Callithrix jacchus: one gene and its partners. The protein of the gene in region 3 purifies or fractionates together with the protein of the main gene of each other region. This does not show direct contact. Links are inferred from orthologs where the notes say so. Each region holds a gene or a part of one and is shown on either strand. Other genes may lie near its edges.

Region 1 (4,747 bases), on a different chromosome or scaffold from region 3:
GACCTCTAAAATCCCAAAAATACAATGCTGGAAAAAAATAATTTAAAAATTATTTTATAAGAAACACAGACATACTTCAAATAATACTTTACTAGGTAGGCTTTCTTAATCCACTGAAAATTAATCCACAAGGCTCCACCCCCACCACCGTCAATGTGGCACCCACAGGCATCTCCTTAACCCATGCAGACAGTAACAACTCACAGTTCCTCACCTGATGCAGCTGTCCTATGATGATTTTCAGGGATTTTGATCTTTCAGGATTTCAACACTCAGGGTTATGGCAGTTAGGATTGTGTCTTTTGGGATTCTGATGCAAACCCCATGGTTGGAGTTGAGCAGCTTTATCAGTACGTCAGTGACGTTGGTTCTCCCCAGCTCTTGGTCTCTGCTAAATTGACGTGGAGCTGAGAGGCCCCTGATAGGCTGGTCAGGGTGAAGTGTGTGGCCATGTGAGGGGAACTGTGGCCACTTATCACAGTCCTCCTCACAGGGAGCCTGATACCAGGCTCAGCCTGGGTACTGAGTTCAAGGGTCTCCTCTGTGGCACACAATTAGGAGCGTTCTTTACCTAAACATTTTCACCCATCTTCCTTGAAAGATTGGTATCCTTGCTGTCTGTTCTTAGTAGAAACATGACCGTGCCAGTGGTTTCCTCTCTTGGGTTTGCTGAAGGAGAGATGGAAGCGTAATCATGTCCCTGGAACTCTGTCTCTGCACTGGGGCAGCAGGCACTGTGGCTGTCGGCTCATGCTCCAGACCCTGGTGCCACTGCCTGAAGCCACGTAGGGTGTCTCCTGTGGGCTAGAGCAGCTTCAGGCAGACTAGAAACCTGGCTGTTAATAAGGACTGTTGGCAGCTAATTCAGATCAGATCTTCCAAACAACAGGCCTGGGACGAAATAAACACATCTGTGGATTTGCTGTGCCCCCTGGGCCTTGGTTTCTACCTCTGGCTCTCATCATCCAGGTTCCCTTCCAGTTCATTCTATTCTCTGTTCAGTTGCATTCTGTTTCAGTCTGTCTCGGTCATTATCTCCTGTCTCTTGTCCACTGCCAATTGCAGACACTGAACTTTCAGTTGCTGATTTGTTCTTCATAATAATACCTTTTGGCAAGTAGTTTATGTCATATACATGTGTTTTCATGTTCCAATTTTCAGTGGCCGGGGTCTCGGTGACATCTGTGTCCCTCTAAGTTACTCCTTCAGCCTTATCAGTTTTTGTACTTCTTGGATATGATGGGATCGGTAGTGTTAGGAAATGCCCTTAAAAACTGAGGACAAATGCAGGCGCCGTTGCTGAGGGATGCCTGGGCTTGCTGCTAAGCACACCGTGGCTTTCTGGGAGTCAGGATCCATGGGCTTTTACTCCAATATGGAGTAAAAAAGAAGATTTCTCAGATCTTTGAAAGTTCAGAAGTGGAGGAACATCTGATAATGTATGAGAACAGATCAGGGTCATCTTCTGAGCCTGGGTGTGCAAGGCACCTCTAGCCCATGGCCATCTCAGCCTATCGTCTTTTTGTCCGTAGACTGGAGCGCTGCTCAGCGCTTTCGTTCAGCTGTGCCACATTTCCACAACGCTGGCAGAGAAGACATGGGTCCAGCTTTTCCCCAGATTATGGAAGATCCTCTCTGACAGACAGCAGCATGTGAGTGTATCTTTAAAATCCTGTTTTGGAGAAATGTAGTTTCATCTTTTGGTAAGTATTCTTAAAAGAACACAGTCTTGATCAAGTTTTAGAGGATGAGGAAACTGCTGGCTGTCACTCGAGTGCATTAGGAAAGGTATTCTTAGCTGCATCAAGAGAGACAGTGAGACGCTGATTTTTGAATGAAGCTATGGATGACATGCGCTTTGGTTTCAGGCGCTCGCGGGCGAGATAAGTCCATTCCTGTGCAGCGGTAGTCACCAGGTACAGCGAGACTGCCAGCCCAGTGCGCTGAACTGCTTCGTGGAAGCCATGTCCCAGTGCGTGCCCCCGATCCCCATCCGACCCTGTGTCCTGAAGTACCTGGGGAAAACACACAACCTCTGGTTCCGGTCCACACTGATGCTGGAGCACCAGGCTTTTGAAAAGGGTCTGAGTCTTCAGATAAAGCCGAAGCAAACAACAGAGTTTTATGAGCAGGAGAGCATCACCCCACCTCAGCAGGTGAGGATGCGCCTCAGATTGTTCATTACCTCTTCCCTGCCAGTGTCCTCACACTTTAAATAAGTACTGCTCCCAAATGATTTCAAATTACAACACAGTGAAGCTGCATTTTTAGGAAAACAAAGTCTTTGTCCTGAGCACTGAGGAACCTTGCTTTGTGTTTTCAGGAGATACTGGATTCCCTTGCGGAACTTTACTCCCTTTTGCAAGAGGAAGATATGTGGGCCGGTCTGTGGCAGAAGCGGTGCAAGTACTCGGAGACGGCGACTGCAATTGCTTACGAGCAGCACGGGTTCTTTGAGCAGGTAAACCTCCGGTAACTGCCTGGCTTGCATGTGCAGTGAGAGGCCATTTCTGATGGTTCTTTAGTAAAATCTTCTCAAGTTCTAGCTCACTTTTTTTATGAGATGGAGTCTCGCTCTGTCACCCAGGCTGGAATACAGTGGCACAATCTCAGCTCACTGCAGCCTCCACCTTCTGGGTTCAAGCAATTCTCCTGCCTCAGCCTCCCGAGTAGCTGGGACTACAGGCACCCACCACCATGCTTGGCTGATTTTTGTATTTTTGGTAGAGATGGGGTTTCACCATGTTGGCCAGGTTGGTCTTGAACTCCTGGCCTCAAGGTGATACGCCCACTTGGGCCTCCCAAAGTGCTGGGATTATAGGTATGAGCCACCGCGACCAGCCGGAGTTCACATTTAAATATGCTTTAAAACGTGAATCTGTAAAGGCCCTGTGACTGAAGTCTGCATTTAAGAGACACTTCTGTATATGACATGAGCTAAAAAGCACAGTCTCAATAAGTCCCGTGCATTAGATGCCAGCGTGGATGCTTTTTACCTCCCATTGTGGGTCCGGTTAGAAGTAATAGGTTTCGTTTAGTGCTTACATTTTACTCTTCATTCTGCCCTTTGGCATGGCGTGGGCCACTGTTTCAGGGTGTGATCCCAGTACTGTGTAGGGTGCCGAGCCACAGAAGCTCCAAAAGCAGATGTGGCCTTGTGGCTCCTGCTCTGATCACTAAAGGATGGAGAAATTAATCCTGCATCTGGACAGCCTCCCCTTCCATCTGTACAGGGAAACCCACCTTCTCTGTCTCTGTGAACAGAGAGCTGTGGGTGTTGAGTGGTCCTGCAGAAGAGCCCCACACACTCTCAGGTCTGTGATTCAACTTGCTCTACACAACTGGGCCATGGCGGTGAAAAGGTGTTTCTTAGCCAGCTGCAGGCTTGTACCTGCAGTTCAGTGACTTAGGGAGGCTGAGGCACGAGGGGCCCTTGAGCCTAGGAATTAGGAGTTTGAGTCTAGTTTGGCAACATAGCAAAACCCCATCTCAAAAAACTTTTCTAAGTGTTAAATTTAAAAACACAGAAAGAAAAGGTATGTTACTAGTTAAACAGTAGTTTAAAAGTGTTAACTTTTTTTAGGCACAAGAATCCTATGAAAAGGCAATGGATAAAGCCAAAAAAGAACACGAAAGGAGCAATGCCTCCCCTGCGATCTTCCCCGAATACCAGCTCTGGGAAGACCACTGGATTCGGTGAGCCAAACACAGTGCTTGACATGAGCATGAATCAGTTGAGGGAACCAAGGAAACATCTCAGACCTTTTCTTGTAATGAGTGTTTTTTAAAGGGAGCTTTGCTACTTTATGGCCACGTAAAGAAAAGAACAAACAGAAACCTAAGACCAGCATGTAAAGCCTTGAGTAATTAAACATGTCAACTGGAGAAGCAGTAAACTATCCTTGCATCTCCCCTGGCTCCAGTGCTTGAGGCCATTTGCTGAAAAGCAGGTGTTTCGTGGTGGGCAGCAGGCAGGGGGCTCACCCCGCGATGGAGCCCATCTCCGTGTTCTGTAGAAGTTCACTCTTGCTGTGTTGTTCTTCTGTAGAATGGAAATTTGCTTCTTAAAACCCTATCACTGCCTCTTTGAATTCATGAGTGTGCTGGTGACTGAGCTTCTGCCCTCGGATCTATGGTCTTGTAGGTGCTCCAAGGAGTTGAACCAGTGGGAAGCCCTGACCGAGTATGGCCAGTCCAAAGGCCACATCAATCCCTACCTTGTCCTGGAGTGCGCCTGGCGGGTGTCCAACTGGACTGCCATGAAGGAGGCACTGGTACAGGTGAGGCACTGGTACTAGTACAGGATGCCCCAGGGGCATCCCTCCAGCTGCCTGGGTCCTCTTTCCTGAAGCAGCAGGTGTCTTTTGGGAAGATTTCCCTTAGAACAAGCATTTTGGCAGTGGAAAGATAACTTGTGGAAAGGAAAGGTTCTTTTTGATTGTCTTCAATGCCTTTCCTGAATTTGAGTAATGTCTTTTTTTTACAAAATGTGAGAAGTTGAAGATGAGAAATAGTCACAGACTATTAACTAAAGGATGGAATCAAGCCCAGGTTGTTGACTTCTGGGAAATGACTCATTGGATGCAGGAGTTTGTGTTCCTCTGAGAAATAACCAGTCACTTATATCAGTAAAAATACATTCTTCCCTCAGTATCTAGGACCCCCACAGATACCAAAACCCACAGATACTGAAGGCCCTGATAGAGAATCGTGCGTGTAGTATTTGCATGTAATTTCTGCACGGCCT
Region 2 (4,747 bases), on a different chromosome or scaffold from region 3:
AACAAGAAGCAATAGCTACTCAAAGACTCAGCTAAGAAATTCTTATGGTCTCAAAGGATGAGAGCAACTGCTGCACTGAGTAAGTTCATCATCTATATCCTTACTCTCTCTAACCTTACTTAAGATCTTCCTCCAAGTTAGGAATGAACCAAAGCACTAGAACACACAACATATATAAAAAAATGGGTGGTAAGGCCAGGTGCAGTGGCTCACACCTCTGATCCCAGCTTCCCAGGAAGCTGAGGCAGGAGAATTGACTGAACCCAGGACATGGAGTTTGCAGTGAGCTCAGATTGTGCCACCACACTCCAGCTTGGGCAACTGAGCGAGGCTCTGTATAAAAAAAAAAAAGGGTGGTAATTTTTCCTCAGAGGAAAATTAATCACCAAGAAATAAAAAACTGGTATTAATAAATATGTCACTTCTGCTGAAGTTCAGCATATTGTAAATCACCAAGTTCAACACCATTCAAATACCAATAAAGTTTATAGAATATTTTATGGAGCTTTTTGTCTTTCCCTGCTTTACACTTTTTTCTTCATTTAATTCTTATCACCTCTTCATCAAATATATACATTACAATTAATAAAAAAAGTAAACTGAGACTCAAAAGCTAAGTTACCTATACAAAGTCACAAAACCAATGTGTGGCAGGTCTGAGATTCAAGCCCAGTTCTCTGGTTCCAAATCTTATTCCACTATTCTAGAATCTCAGGTATCTCTAGTACCTTGATTTTGCAAGCCACAAGAAAGCAGCTCAGTATTACTCTTAATATCTATGCTGTGGTCAATCAGGGCTATCAATACCTTGAAGACAGACAGCTTTATAATCAGGAGCACTACATTGTTTACCAGGTAAAGTAGCTTCAAAAACAGTTAGACAAAGTTGGGCTTTAAACTAGGACTAACAATTACTTAGTAAAAAACACTGAAATTGAGGTCAGTCAATGTCAAGTTCAACACCTCTGAAGTAGATAAAGGAAAAGTGGTAACTTACCTGAGGCAGCAGGGGAGGCTGCAACAGTATTGGGTGTTTGCTGTATCTCCCCACCATGTATCATGGGAAGGACCCCGCCTACCTCCAGGAGGACACCTGTACTGTTCAGGTGGCCAGAAGCCACAGCCATTTCATTCTCATTGACCTACCAGGGAAGAACAGAGGTGAAGGCTACACTCAAGTTTTCCTTTACTACCATTTCCCAACAAAGCTCCAGAAGTTGATCAAACTTTATGAAAACTAACAGTTAACATCCACAGAGAATAATTTAATACCCAAGGGAAACTCTAAACTATAATGTTCAAAACTTATTTGACAAGAGTTCTCTGGAGTAGAGAACCAAAATAATTTTGATTCAGAGACCTCAGGACCCAAGGGTACTATCAACTTACTATATTTTTCAAAAATTAACATATAATTAGGAGATATTTTCCTCTTTTGAACTTTTTTTCCCCATGTCACATTTTAGGTCCCAGGCACTCCCTTCCAAGTACTAAATCACCACAGCTCTCAAACACCCACAGAAGTCTCCATACCAGTCTGGGGCTAGTAGGCAGGAGGCTGCCCTTCTTCAAGAGCTCTGACAGCAGAGGGGAGGGGGGTGGAGTTGCTTTCTGTCCAAGCATCTTTTTCTGGGGTGAATCATCTGTTACTGGGGTCATGGGGGCTTCTAAGGGTGCAGAGCCTGGAGGAAGGGTGTCAGGAATCCCAGGAAACGAGGTGACTGGGGTACTCGGCAAAGTCCCGGGGGTTACCTAAGAGACAACAGAGAACCTTTATCTGACTTCTCAAACTATGGAAGGTTCCCTACTAATCTGTTTGGGTTAGTGTGTCTAACTATTATTTTATTAGTCCTGAGTCGAATTGCCCAGAAAGCCTCTATCCCTCCTGCTCTCAGCCATACTTTTCTTCCCCACAAGCTTCACTTCCATCCACTCAAACATCCCACCCAACTTGCCTTTTATGAACTCCTTACCCACTACCAGTATTACATTTACAAGGACTCAGTCCCTTATTTTAGCAGGAATTTCATAAGACTAGTATGAAACAATTCCTTAAAACAGTCTTTTACCTATCTCTCAAAAAGGTCAAAAGCCTCAGTGTTTTTAGGTCCATTTTTATCTCAGAGCACAGAACATGGTAAATTCTTTAGCATTCAGACCAAGAGAGGAAGTTGCCTTTAGACCAAAAGTGGTTTCCTCATCACTCAGCTCTGCCGGCTTATTGCCCCTTAGCTGATCAATTTCTACAGCTGGAAATATACTCACCCCAGAGGTAGCCTCTTCCATAGTGGTTGGAGTCAAGTCCCCAAGTGGATAATCACCTCCTGGGGAGGCAGAATCTATAGGAGAGCGAACCATCACAGTGGGTAACCTCCGGGGGGGTGTTTTTACTGCTTGACGAGCTAGAACGTAAAAGAAAACATGTCCAAATCTTTAAGATTAAATAAATGAAACTTGACACTATTCTGCTATTATACAATAAAGGACAAATAGGAATGTTGCATTACTAAAGCAGCATAATGAGTTTGGATTAGAAAGCTTTAACACTTCTGGAGATGGATAACTTTTTAGCCTAATTTTTCCTAAGGGCAATTCTCACACTAAATAAACTCCTTTAACAATCTCAAACTACTTAGTTATCCCAAAAGTCCTCGGAGTGGGAAAGTGGTTTATACCCTTTAATATTCTCTTCAGTGACTTATTAATACTCTGCTTTTAAGAACACGGAGGCCAGGTACGGTGGCTCACGCCTGTAACCCCAATACTTTGGGAGGCCAAGGCAGGCGGGTCACCTGAGGTCAGGTGTTTGAGACCAGCTTGGCCAAAAAATTAGGCGGGCGTGGTGACAGGTGCCTGTGATACCAGCTACTTGAGAGGCTGAGGCAGAAGAATTGCTTGAATATCATAGGAGGCAGAGATTGCAGTGAGCTGAGATCATGCCACTGCACTTCAGGCCTGCACAACAAGCTCTCGGGGGTGGGGGAACAAAAACAGGAAAAGACCTCACAGCATTTATTCCTAGAGTTGTAAATGCTTACATTTCTCCCCTTATCTAATGACTGAGCTATTCTCAATCTTTTCACAGGCCTTTGACTTCTAAAACATTAATTATGTTCAATATCTTCTTATCGAGCCTTGGTATCCTAAAGTTATTTATTAAGGTCTAGTGAGATCTGAGCAGAGTTCATGTTCTAGGAGCTTCTTCTGGGACATTAAGGGATGTTTTTATTCTAGCAGAAGAGAAAACTGTGCAAGTAAATTTAACCCAATGGATTCTATGTTACAAAACAATCCAACTGTCATTAGCTTGCAGTACTGTGCGATCAACTGCTAAACAGATATACTAGGATCAGCTTACCCTGATATGCAGCATCTGTAGCCTTCCTCTTTACTTCAGCCTCCTCTTCTTCCAATTTTTTTTTCCTAAACAAGGAATTAAGAGTTAGACACTAGACAGGCTCTGGCTCCTCCCCAGAGTTCACAGAACCCATAAAAAGAAATTTTTTTGCCTGGCCAGCGCTTTCTGGAAGAAAGGCCTAAACAGGAATTCTAACCAGCAAAACAGGGAACTGGGGTATACTGTCTAACTCCCACTTCTTCACTCAGGCAAACTAGAGCCACTTTTAAGTTATAACTAAGTTATGTTTTCATACTGAAATGTTCCATCATATTACCTTCTAGGACTCACTCCCCCCTCCCAGCCACCAAGCCGCTTTGCAGTTTTCTCCTTCCAGAATCTGTCTCAAGTCTAAAGGGATGGCAGTTGGAGGAAATAAGCCAGATTACTTGAGGGGAAAAGAGGGGAAAAAGAAACAAGCACAGAAGAACAATATAATATAACCCACATTGCAATGTCATTGCAAAGCTCATCCAGTCTGCTGTCCATGTGTCCAGCTTGAATTAGTTCTGCATCTCTTTTTAACCGTCTATAGGAAGAAAAGAGAGGTAGGTAGAATGGATTTTTAATCTATTCTAAAAATCTGACCAATACCAGACGTCAGCCTCTTATGTCTTTCTCAGTCTTTTGGCATTCTCTCTGATAAGTACCTATATCTCTCCTGGGTTTCCTTTATCACTTTCTTTAGTTCCTCAACTCGCTCAGCAGTCAGTTTCCGAACAATGACGTCTTCAACAGTTTCCACCACTTCTCCTTTTTCACCTCGTTTCCGTCTGTGGAAAATGAAAAAAAAAAAAAAAAAAATCCATATTTGAATAAGAGAACATTTATCCCCTCTCCCACTTGCTCTGAGCCTTCTTTATCAATTAATCATAGATAACTTCTGCTATGTTTTTAAATCACCCACTATTATAAATAGGTATAAACCAGAATTCCTCAGTAAACACTCTATAAGAAATTTGGCTAAAGTACCTGGCCTTATACTCACTTTGGGGTCTCAGTGGTCTCTAAAAGCTCCGAGTACTGGGAAGCACAATGCTACAAAAAAAAAAAAAAGTGAAAATGTGATGAGCAAGCATGAAAAGAAATGCCCTTTCAAAGTTTAAAGAGATTAGAGTAAGATTTAGAGAAGAGAGATATATGTAAGATGTGAATGGTTTCTAGGCAGGTAAGTAACTTGATAATCCAATCAGTTCAAAATAATCAAAACAAGACACAGAAAGAGTCTTATGGACTACAGTTTGTGCATTTGGGTAAAGGCAACCTAATTGAAAATATTTATAGCTAATATCTACTAACAAGGCACTGTGTTAAATGCTTTACATGTATTACCTCAATTAACTTCACAAC
Region 3 (4,178 bases):
GTTGTTAAATCTGTAGAGAGAATCTAGGAATGGAGTCTTACATAGAATATGCTGGTGAGCTAGCAAAACCGATTAACAGAAATCCAGAAAGCATTTTGATAACTTTACATGCAGATGCTAAGAAGGCCAGTCTTAATGACTATATAAATAACCTTAAAATTGTAAAGTTCATTGAATGCAATACTTAAGGTAAAGCCCAGTCTAACCACAGGTGCTTAAAACATGTACAGGTGTGCAGGGGGACAGGCTTTGGGCAACAGGTAGCTTCCAGAGTGGCATCAGAGATACTGGCTTAGTGCAGAGCAGAAAACTGACACAAGCTCTAGTTAAGGCATAGTAGGGAACTGTTAACACAGTTGTCTGGAAGCAAGATGTAAATTGTTTTCAAATCAAAAATTTATATACGTCAAACTTTGAGATGTGCCCTAATGTTTTTTTTTTCTTTAGAAAGATATTTTGTTGGTCATGCTGAGGATTTGTATAGGGTTGTTCACTGTTAACTTTCTTTAGAGTGAAAAAGATTCAGAGGATTTTCTTTCTACAGTCTGTAAGTCCTAAATATTGGAAGAAATCAGCACTTCCATTTTCAGAGTAATTGAGGCACATCTGAAATTTCGAGTCAGCTGTGTGTGTGACCATCTGTACAGCCCATGATCAGCACACAACTGGAATCCTTGCAAAAGCCTGCGCTCTGAACCGCTGCCGTCCAGGAACTACAATCCAGATCCAAATTGAGGTTTCCTAAGTTTGACATTCTGTGATTCCATCTAATAAGAAATATTTTTGTATTCTCCACAGAATGTGAATGGCATAAAGTACCACGCTAAGAATGGTCACAGAACACAGATTCGTGTCCGCAAACCATTCAAATGTCGCTGTGGGAAGAGTTACAAGACAGCTCAGGGCCTGCGGCACCACACAATCAATTTCCATCCCCCGGTGTCGGCTGAGATTATCAGGAAGATGCAGCAATAACATGCTGGTCATAACTGTGCCAAGAAATCCTCACCAGCAGTTGCTGATTTTGAAAACAGCCACCTTTTTTCAGGGGAAGCATTCAGCAACCCTTTAAAGAAAAAGAATTAAATGCATGCTTTAAATTTTTTCTGTAATTTTGGAATGATGTATCTTTGTAGAGTTAATGATTTTGTACATTTGCACATGTAATCATCATACCCATTTTCATTACTTTGATATAAGGTGCTAAACAAAAAAGCTCTAGGTTCTTCAGCACATTTCCCCCAAAACAAAATAAAATTGAGGGCATGTGGCATATTGTTGAATTGTATTGCAGTGAAATCAACTGGGGGGAGGAGGGGCTGGCACTGAGATTTTTTTTCAAGATTGTAATGTGATTGAAGTTTTCGACACATCAACTCACATATGTTCAAAACCAAAATAATACCTTCATTATCAAACTGGTTACCATGCCTTACATAATGGAGTTAGTATTTGTGAGTAGAAAGACTTTAGGTAATGGAAATATAAATAAGAATGTTTAACATAATATGCTAAAAATATTTTCATATTTAAATAACATACATAAAAGGTGTGCTTTCTGTGTTTTATATTATCTTGCAAATCTTTTGCCCTTTAAAAAGCTGAAAATCTTGCCATCTGACTTACTAGTCATTTTAGTGTTATAAATGGCATTTTGTACAAAATAGTCTTATTCAGTTCATTCATTCATTAACCACACATTCATTGAGTGCCTGCTGGGTGCAAGAGATTCAATTTATGCCTCTTGATATCTGCGGACCAAGAAACCAATTTAGTGAAATACTTTTCCTTGAAATCTGTTAGGAAACACTTTGAAATACTTAAGTGCAAATTTTGTGTGTGTGGAATTTAGTTATATCTTCATCTTCAGATGAAGTTTTAAAGCACTTTGTAGTTCTCTATTGCCAACAATTTAATGATGGTTATGTGTTGCCAATTCTTGCAACCACTACCCTACCAGTCCTGTGGGTTGCAAATCAGAACTAAAATTCTAAGCATGTTTCAAAGAGGAACACTTTTGTTAAGACTCCTATTGCCTCTTCTTCATGCTCATCATTTTTGAGACTTTTCTTAAAAGGCACTTTTCTCATCACATTGTAGAGTCTGCATTCTCATAGGAAATGTCTGTTTAGCTTTATAAACACTTTGCTGAAATATGAAAATGAGCCTTATTGACAATTAAGTGCTTCTTGCAGCAGGTGGTCAAAGAAAAGCATGACTAATACGACCCGTTAGAGTAACCTACATCTGGACCATTCCTGAAGTTTTTCCTCACCGACATACCATCATGCCTTGAGTGTTCTTTTCTCCCAAGTGCTATTCCTTAAACATGAGAGTTTACCAATTGCCTAAGTATGCAATAAAAAAATGCTTTGAGATAGCTAACTGCCCATAAAACAAACTCAGATTGCTCATAAAAAAATTATCTTCCCATATTCCCATCTGATGAAAAATCTTACGTCACATGTAGCTAGGAAGCAGGGGGTCCCTCCTCAATTTTCAGATGTTTTGAAAGGATGACAATTCTGCTAGCCAGATGAGTAAACCTCTAAATTCGTAAGTTCTGAATCCCTCATAATGAGGGATTTTAAAGTATTTTTAAAGACACTGCCCTCTTAAAATTTCCTCAGCTCTGAAGCATGGTCTTGGTCCTGAATATACAGTGTTATCCTGTTTAAAAGGGTGATCCAGACGACATGAGAAGCAACTAGTTGGTGCATAAGAAGGCCCTACTTGGCTATTTCATATCTACCTACAATTGACCAAAAAACAATTTTTAGGCCAGCAATTATTATTTAGCTTTGCTCCTTCTAGTGCAAAGAACTGCAGGCTGGATCAGTAGTTTAACAGCTAAACAGTCATAAAATAGTCATTGTGCATGTTAAATTTCTTTCAATGATAAAACAAATTCCAATTTCTATTTACTTATTCATTGTGACAGTATTACTAAACAGGTAAGGATGGGAATATTTTGTTATACTGTGTATAGTGAATGTATTGTACTGTGTCTGTGAAAACTGTGCTTTAAATTATATTTTCATATGTTTTGTTGGGAACAGAGCACATTAAGTCTGAAAGCGACAGAGGTTTGTATTAGAATTGAAGGCAACTTAATCAAAATTCCTGTCAAGAAAAGCTGCTTATAAATGTAAATGAAATCACATTTAAAATAAACTGCCTCTGACCCAAAAATAAATATGGCTCTTTATTTTCCTTAGTGTCCATTATGAAATCCAGTATCAAGTGGAAATTAATATATCCATTCAGTTCCTCATTCTATCTTAGGCTGTTCAGGTGATGCATGTAGACTTTATTCCTTTAAATTTTTGGTTAGATTAGGCTGTATTACTTTTCTATCAATCACAAATTACTTAAACTGGGACCCAGTAACTATTTTTAAATAAGTTCTAGGCTAGTAAGGATGAACAGCATCTACTACTGGAATATTCAAAGGATACTTTTGGATTAACATGGTCCATAATTATTACCTGCAACAAAAATGCTCCTACTGTTGAACATATTGTACCTAAGTATATTCTGCTTGTCATACAACCTATCAGGAAGCTGAAACTTCGAATCTCCAAAGCTACTGCTTCCTAGGACTACTGTGTCCTAACAGCTGGCATCTGAATGCCTAATACTGGTTTGCCCTAGACGAAAATACCTTTTTAAAGGATACTAACAATACATAAACTCTGCTTCCACAAACAAATACAAATGATGTAATATGCTACAGTTCACATATAGCAACCCAGAATGCCACCAAGTCGAAATATTAGGTTAACATCTTCAATAACTAGTTCACTCAGAACAAATGTAAACTATATTGATAACTACAAAAGTGGTAAAATCAAAAGTTGGTACTTTAAATTATTCATATGCACATTATAGAAGGGAAAGAGAATACAGTTCAGAAGTATTTTAAAGGCCCAAACCAAAAAAAGATGTTTAAGATGCTAGGTTGATGAAAAACTTTCACAAATAAATTTGACAACGAAATTACAGATCTCAGAAAACGTGTCCTCTTTACTGTTAGTGAGAGTTCTATACAGCAGACATAACCAAAGAAACACATTACTTTGATCTGGGTTTATGCAGTGTACTTTTAATCACTTACTGAGAATATTTCAAATTTATATTCTCATCAGGAAAATTTTAAAAAGATACTGATACATATT
Region 4 (5,418 bases), on a different chromosome or scaffold from region 3:
CTCGAGGAGGGCATGGAATTACACAAGATCTGGATCGTATGTTCATTAAGAAAAAATTACAGATTCTAGGGTGTTTCAACACTTCACCTGTGATGGCCAGAGCGGACGCATCTTTGGATCTTTAAAACCCTAAATTAAAAACTATCTGTACCGAGAAAGGCCAGAATAGCTCAATTCCCACCCAATACAACCCCCACTTCCGACCTACAGGCGCCCTACTGAGCGGCTGGGCGAATCCGCGGTCGCGCTAGTCAGGGCCCCGCTTCTTCCATCAACAGAGACTTTGCCAGCCTCCCAGAAACCTCGGTTAGGCGGAAGGCCGGGGTGGAGGCCACCACTGCGAGGACAGTACCCACCCAGCCGCGAGGAGTTCGCGGTTCCCCCGAGGGGCGGGCCTGGGCCCGGGTAACCGTGCGCGACATCACGAGTTTTTAGGATATCTACCTTTTCGGCCTCTAGGCCCTGGCGCCTGCGCCATTTAAGCCACAGATCCGCCCGCCCCGCCGCGACCGAGCCCGGGAGCCGCCGCAACCGCCGCCCGGGGCCCCGTAGCCCAAGGGCCGGATGGACCGAGCGCCGGCCGCGGCGTTCCGGTGCGCGCGCGCGCCTCAGCCAATCGCGTGCTCGCCCGCCCCCCGCCGCCGCGGCGAGGCTGGCGCTGGGAAGAGGAAGAAGAACATTCGCCCTCCTCCTACCAGCGCGCGGGCGGCGGCGGCGGCGGCACCGGGGTCACGAACTCTGACCTTTCACTGACAAAAACAATAACAAACCCCCCCTTCCCCGCGACACCGGCGGCGCCCCCGGGCCCGTCCCCGCCACCCCGCAACCACCTCGGCATCTCGTCTCTCGCCCGCTGCCCCGCGAGCCCGCGGCCCCCGGGCTCCCGCCATCCGCCGACGCCGGGAGCCGGGGCTCCCCGCGCCCTGCCCTCCGCGCCGGGGGCCGCCCGCCGCAGACACGGGACCCGCTTCGAGGCCGCTTTGGCGCCAAACCCTAAGGTAAGATTGAAAAAGGGTCGGGCGGGCTCGGGCCAGCGGCGGAGGGGGCGGGCCTGGCGCGGGGAAATGGAGGCGCCGCAACGACGGCTGAACCCGACCCTTTTACCTTTGCCACGGGGCGGCAGCGGCGGCGGCGCTCGGCGCTTTGCATAGTGGGCCGGGCCGCTCCCCTTCCCTCCCCGCCCGCGGCCGGACGAAGCGAGCGGGTTCCCCCTGACCGGCCGGGCCGGCGCAAGGGTGGGGGCGGAGGGGGAATGGCCGCGGCCCCGCCTCACAGTTGGCCCTCCGCCAGCGCCGCCATTTTGTTCTCGACGGAGATGGCCTGGGCTGGGCGGGCTCCCTTCCTCCTTATATTCCTCCGCCCTCCTGCAGTCCCTTATTCCCTCTCTCCTGGGTTCTTTGCCCCTTCGCTTCTAGTCCGCCTTTGGCGGCCGCCGTGGCCCAACCGCCGTTTTTTCTGAAGGGGAGGGCAAAGGGAAAGGAGGAAGGCGGGTGCGAGGCACCACCTCGTGAGCGACGGGTGGGCCGACCAATTGGCGCCCGGATAGGAGGGTCGGGTTCTGTGGCACCGCCTCCATAATCTTTGTTGATTGGGTGAGGCAGAATAGGGCGGTCCCTATGGGGCGCGGGAGCCCTGGCGGGGCGGGAGTAGGGGCTGGGGCGCGGGGGGCGGGGCCTGGGGCGGGGCACAAGGGGCGCGGCCCTGGGCCCTGGGGTGGGCGGCTTCCCTCCTACTGGAACGCGTCCAGAATGAGTACTAATGAACAATAGTATTAAAGGTGATGCGTTTGGAGTCCACGATGAGGTCTCGAGGGAAGAGATTTTCGGAACGCGGACAAACCCGTTTCAGGTCTCCTGCTCGTTATTTCGGAGCGGCTATGGCGAATCCCCAAATGAGGCTCAATTTTATCCATTGTAAAATGGGGAGCATGGGCATTCTTGCCAGGCTGGACCTCCCTTTTCAGCATTGTTTTTGGGGCTCTGCTCAGAAAATGGAGTCAAGTCTACTTTGCTAGCCTCAAAGTCACTTGAAAATGGTATTACTGTTAAAAATGGGATTACGGCCACCAGGAGAGGCAAGCTTAAGGGTATTAAGGGCTTGAGAGAGCACGATTCGGGGGTGATTCTCTTTTCATTCTTTCACTGAATACATGTTTACTTAGTTTTAGGCACTGGGGATACATCTGGAGAACCAGCTGGACGAGACCCCTGCCCTCACTAGCGTTGGGGGGCTAGGGGGTAAATAGACAAAGAAATAATTCCAGAGAGTGGTAAGTTCTATGAAAGGAAAAAACCAAATGACCTGCTGAAGACCTCAGGCACTAATTTAGATGGAATGGTCGGGGTGACCTCTCTGAGGAAGTGATGTTTGAACAGAGGAACCCAAGGAGGGAATGGCATTCCAGACAGGACAGCCTGTGTAAGGGCCCCGGAGGAAGAGCATTTGATGTGATTGAGAACTAGCTACTTGTGGCTGGAGAGTTGGTTGGAACTAGTTAATTGTGCATTATCCCACTCCAAGCCAAAGGCTGTAAAATATAGCAACGGTAGTGAGGAACAAATCTTCAATGTAATAATAAAGTCGAGGAAAATACGGCCTTCATACGAATTGCTGGTGAATATATGACTTGGGAGGAGGGCCTCGGAAACTCACTTTAGTTCCAGATGCAAATCCTTCGTCAGCCTCTTATATACATCTTGAGTTCTTCAAATATTTCCTGAATGCCACATATACTCCAGGCACTGCGCTAGGCTGAGAATACAAAAATGACGAAGACACTGGTGCTCAAACATGTGAACATGTTTTTTTTTTTTTTTTTTTTTTGAGACCAGGGTCTCACTCTATCGTCCAGGCTGAAGTTGAATATAATTCTCTGTGTACAAGTTCTACACACACACACACCCCTTCTCACACTCACTATCTCTCTCTTTTTTCTTTCTGGAGCTAAAGAGGTATTTATACACATACATACACAGACATAAAATGTTTCAGTGTTGTGATTAGCAACTCCCAACTTTTACTAGTAGTGTGATTTTGTGTAAGTTACCTTTCCTAGCCTCAGTAACCTTGTCTGGATAATAATAGAACCTTCCTTCTAGAACTGAAGATTAAATGAGTTAATGTAAATAATAGAGCTTAGCAAAGGGCCTGACATATAGTAAATACTCTATAAGTAGAGTTATTGTCATTATGAAGTACTGGTATAGACATTGGACTAGTTAAGTGATAGAAACAATGAAATTTTTAGGCAGTGTGGTGTAGGGGCAAAAACAATAGATAGATGTTCTGAGATTCTAGTTTTGGCTCTATGCTTTCAACTAGCTACTTGGCATCCAGGACAAACGTTTAGAAAATAAAATAGTGAAACTAAATAGTACTAACCAAAGTATAGGGTGCTTTATGATTTACAAAACTCTTTTCAGGCAGTATGTTGTTCAGGCTCCACTAGAACCTACATAATGGCAGGGGCTCTTTTTCTGCTTTATGTTTAAAAACCTCTCCAAGGCTTTTGATTATTTTCTTATCTGTGTACCCCTAACTCCTGTGCTCTGGACACACTGGCCTACCTTCAACTTCCTTGACCAGTGTAGCTTACCTTCTCACCTTACGCCCTTTCACAGGCTGTTCCCTCAGCCTGATATATTCAAATGTCTGTCCCCTACCCCTGCGTCCTCCCACCCTACCTCAGATATTGGCTTAAGCATCACTTCTTCAGGGAAGTCCTCCCTAATTCCCATTGCCAATCTAAATCAGATTCTTTTTATTGTGTTTCTTTTCTTTATAACCTTTATTTCACTTTGTAATTATACACTCCATTATGTGATTATTTGATTAATGTCTGTCCTTACCACACTGTAAGCCAGGAGAGCAGGAATACATTTTGTTCACCATTACTTACCCTGCACTTAGAAGAGTGCCTGGCACTATTTGTTGAATGAATTGTTGATAATTTATGATGTCACTGATAACTAAGTTGCTGTGCATTGATGCAGTATCCACCTTTTATGTGAGCCTCTTTGGCAATTCAGATAACACTGCCAGCAATAAAAAGCCTGTTAAGGTATTTGGTTGTATTTAGGAAGTGCTTTCTGTTAGATATGCCACTGCCTTGAGACATAAATATTGAATAAAATGACCTGTTTCAATCATTTTTCCCACTATATTGATCTTTTTATGATTGAATTATAAATTTAATTGCATGAAAGTAAGTTCATATGTGAAGAAATAAATAACCCAAACATCCTTATGTTATTTAACTGAAGAAACAAAGCACCAAACTAACATGATTTTCTTGAAATCAAATATTCTGATTTTTGTTTCACTATCACAGGGAATTGGAGAGCAAGGAAGAAGCCTCCAGTGGGTTCACAGGGAGTTGGGAGTTGAAAGTCTCTGTAGCCATTACTTTGGGATATTTATCCTTCCAGAGATAAATTTATTCATTTAATGAAATTATTGAAAATCATCTTTTAATTGCTTTACCAAGGCTAAAAGCAAATTTTGTAAAGTATATATCAAGTTGCTACTCCAAAGTGTGGTAAAGAGAACATTTGTATTGACTTATTTTATATTGTAAAACTTTTAAAATAAGATACCGTTAGGGTATTTTAAAAATAATAATAGTTAATTTTTGGATTTTTTTTTTTTCTGTCTTGCTCAAGGATTTCTGGTATCACTTGTTCAATTCAACACTTGATTCGTTGAGCTAATTACTCAGGATAACCAAAGAACTGATAGTTTAGTAAAACAGCTATATATTTTTTTACACCATTAAGTTACTCATTTATTGCTTTCAGTAGCTGTATTCACAGTGAACTTGAAGTTTTGTTTTCATGATCATTCCTTTATAGAAGAAAATCTCTATGCGTAACAACCTTCTCACTTTATGAAGTTGGCTGGGAAGTTTTAGCATCTGTCTCCAAGGAGTCATGTGGCAGGGCAGTGCAGTGACAGAGAGCTTGGGGTATGAAGCCAGAAGTACCTGGCTTCAGAACCTGGAGTTTGTAGATTCTCTGAGGCGTATAGTTCCCCATTTGTCAAACAGGGAGGTGGTAGCCAGCGTTGAGAATGGGGCCAGAAGTAGAGGATACTTGTTTTCTAAATGACTTTGAGAACAAGGGAGGTGAGTCTTTGTGGAGCAGCCCTGTTTTCAGCCATGGCACTGAGCCACTGGCCTCCTGTGTCAGTTGCCTGAGTGTCTCCACATTTTGAGGACCTTCCATTGGGATTTTTATTGTCAAGTTCTCTTATCTGTGAGCCGTATGCTCCTTTAGTCCCAAAGCATCTCCTATACAAGTATCACCTTAATAAATATCACACGGGGAGTCTGTGAAGGGATCCTAGAATCTCAGAATTGGAAGTGGTCTTAGACCTCAAGTTCAGCCTCATACTTGATGCAAGAATCCCTTGCCGGATTTT

The links.
Region 1: the proteins of JAZF1 (region 3) and TRRAP purify together in Homo sapiens (affinity purification with mass spectrometry; 3 studies listed by BioGRID and IntAct, with this or other methods). This does not show direct contact. The link is inferred for Callithrix jacchus from reciprocal best matches to the Homo sapiens genes JAZF1 and TRRAP.
Region 2: the proteins of JAZF1 (region 3) and BRD8 purify together in Homo sapiens (affinity purification with mass spectrometry; 3 studies listed by BioGRID and IntAct, with this or other methods). This does not show direct contact. The link is inferred for Callithrix jacchus from reciprocal best matches to the Homo sapiens genes JAZF1 and BRD8.
Region 4: the proteins of JAZF1 (region 3) and NR2C2 purify together in Homo sapiens (affinity purification with mass spectrometry; 4 studies listed by BioGRID and IntAct, with this or other methods). This does not show direct contact. The link is inferred for Callithrix jacchus from reciprocal best matches to the Homo sapiens genes JAZF1 and NR2C2.

What each region holds. Positions count from the first base shown.
Region 1 is NC_133503.1:14,618,622-14,623,368, reverse strand, and holds part of TRRAP (transformation/transcription domain-associated protein), read left to right. Parts: intron 1-1,532; coding exon 1,533-1,652; intron 1,653-1,868; coding exon 1,869-2,156; intron 2,157-2,323; coding exon 2,324-2,461; intron 2,462-3,583; coding exon 3,584-3,696; intron 3,697-4,144; coding exon 4,145-4,280; intron 4,281-4,747. UniProt on the Homo sapiens protein: Adapter protein, which is found in various multiprotein chromatin complexes with histone acetyltransferase activity (HAT), which gives a specific tag for epigenetic transcription activation.
Region 2 is NC_133503.1:36,576,022-36,580,768, forward strand, and holds part of BRD8 (bromodomain-containing protein 8), read right to left. Parts: intron 4,436-4,747; coding exon 4,386-4,435; intron 4,171-4,385; coding exon 4,048-4,170; intron 3,927-4,047; coding exon 3,846-3,926; intron 3,424-3,845; coding exon 3,359-3,423; intron 2,403-3,358; coding exon 2,266-2,402; intron 1,753-2,265; coding exon 1,534-1,752; intron 1,143-1,533; coding exon 998-1,142; intron 1-997. UniProt on the Homo sapiens protein: May act as a coactivator during transcriptional activation by hormone-activated nuclear receptors (NR). Isoform 2 stimulates transcriptional activation by AR/DHTR, ESR1/NR3A1, RXRA/NR2B1 and THRB/ERBA2.
Region 3 is NC_133512.1:30,271,551-30,275,728, forward strand, and holds the end of JAZF1 (juxtaposed with another zinc finger protein 1), read left to right. Parts: intron 1-798; coding exon 799-975; 3' UTR 976-3,196; downstream 3,197-4,178. UniProt on the Homo sapiens protein: Acts as a transcriptional corepressor of orphan nuclear receptor NR2C2. Inhibits expression of the gluconeogenesis enzyme PCK2 through inhibition of NR2C2 activity.
Region 4 is NC_133516.1:71,934,131-71,939,548, forward strand, and holds the start of NR2C2 (nuclear receptor subfamily 2 group C member 2), read left to right. Parts: upstream 1-1,681; 5' UTR 1,682-1,758; coding exon 1,759-1,848; intron 1,849-2,161; exon of another isoform or gene 2,162-2,269; intron 2,270-5,418. UniProt on the Homo sapiens protein: Orphan nuclear receptor that can act as a repressor or activator of transcription.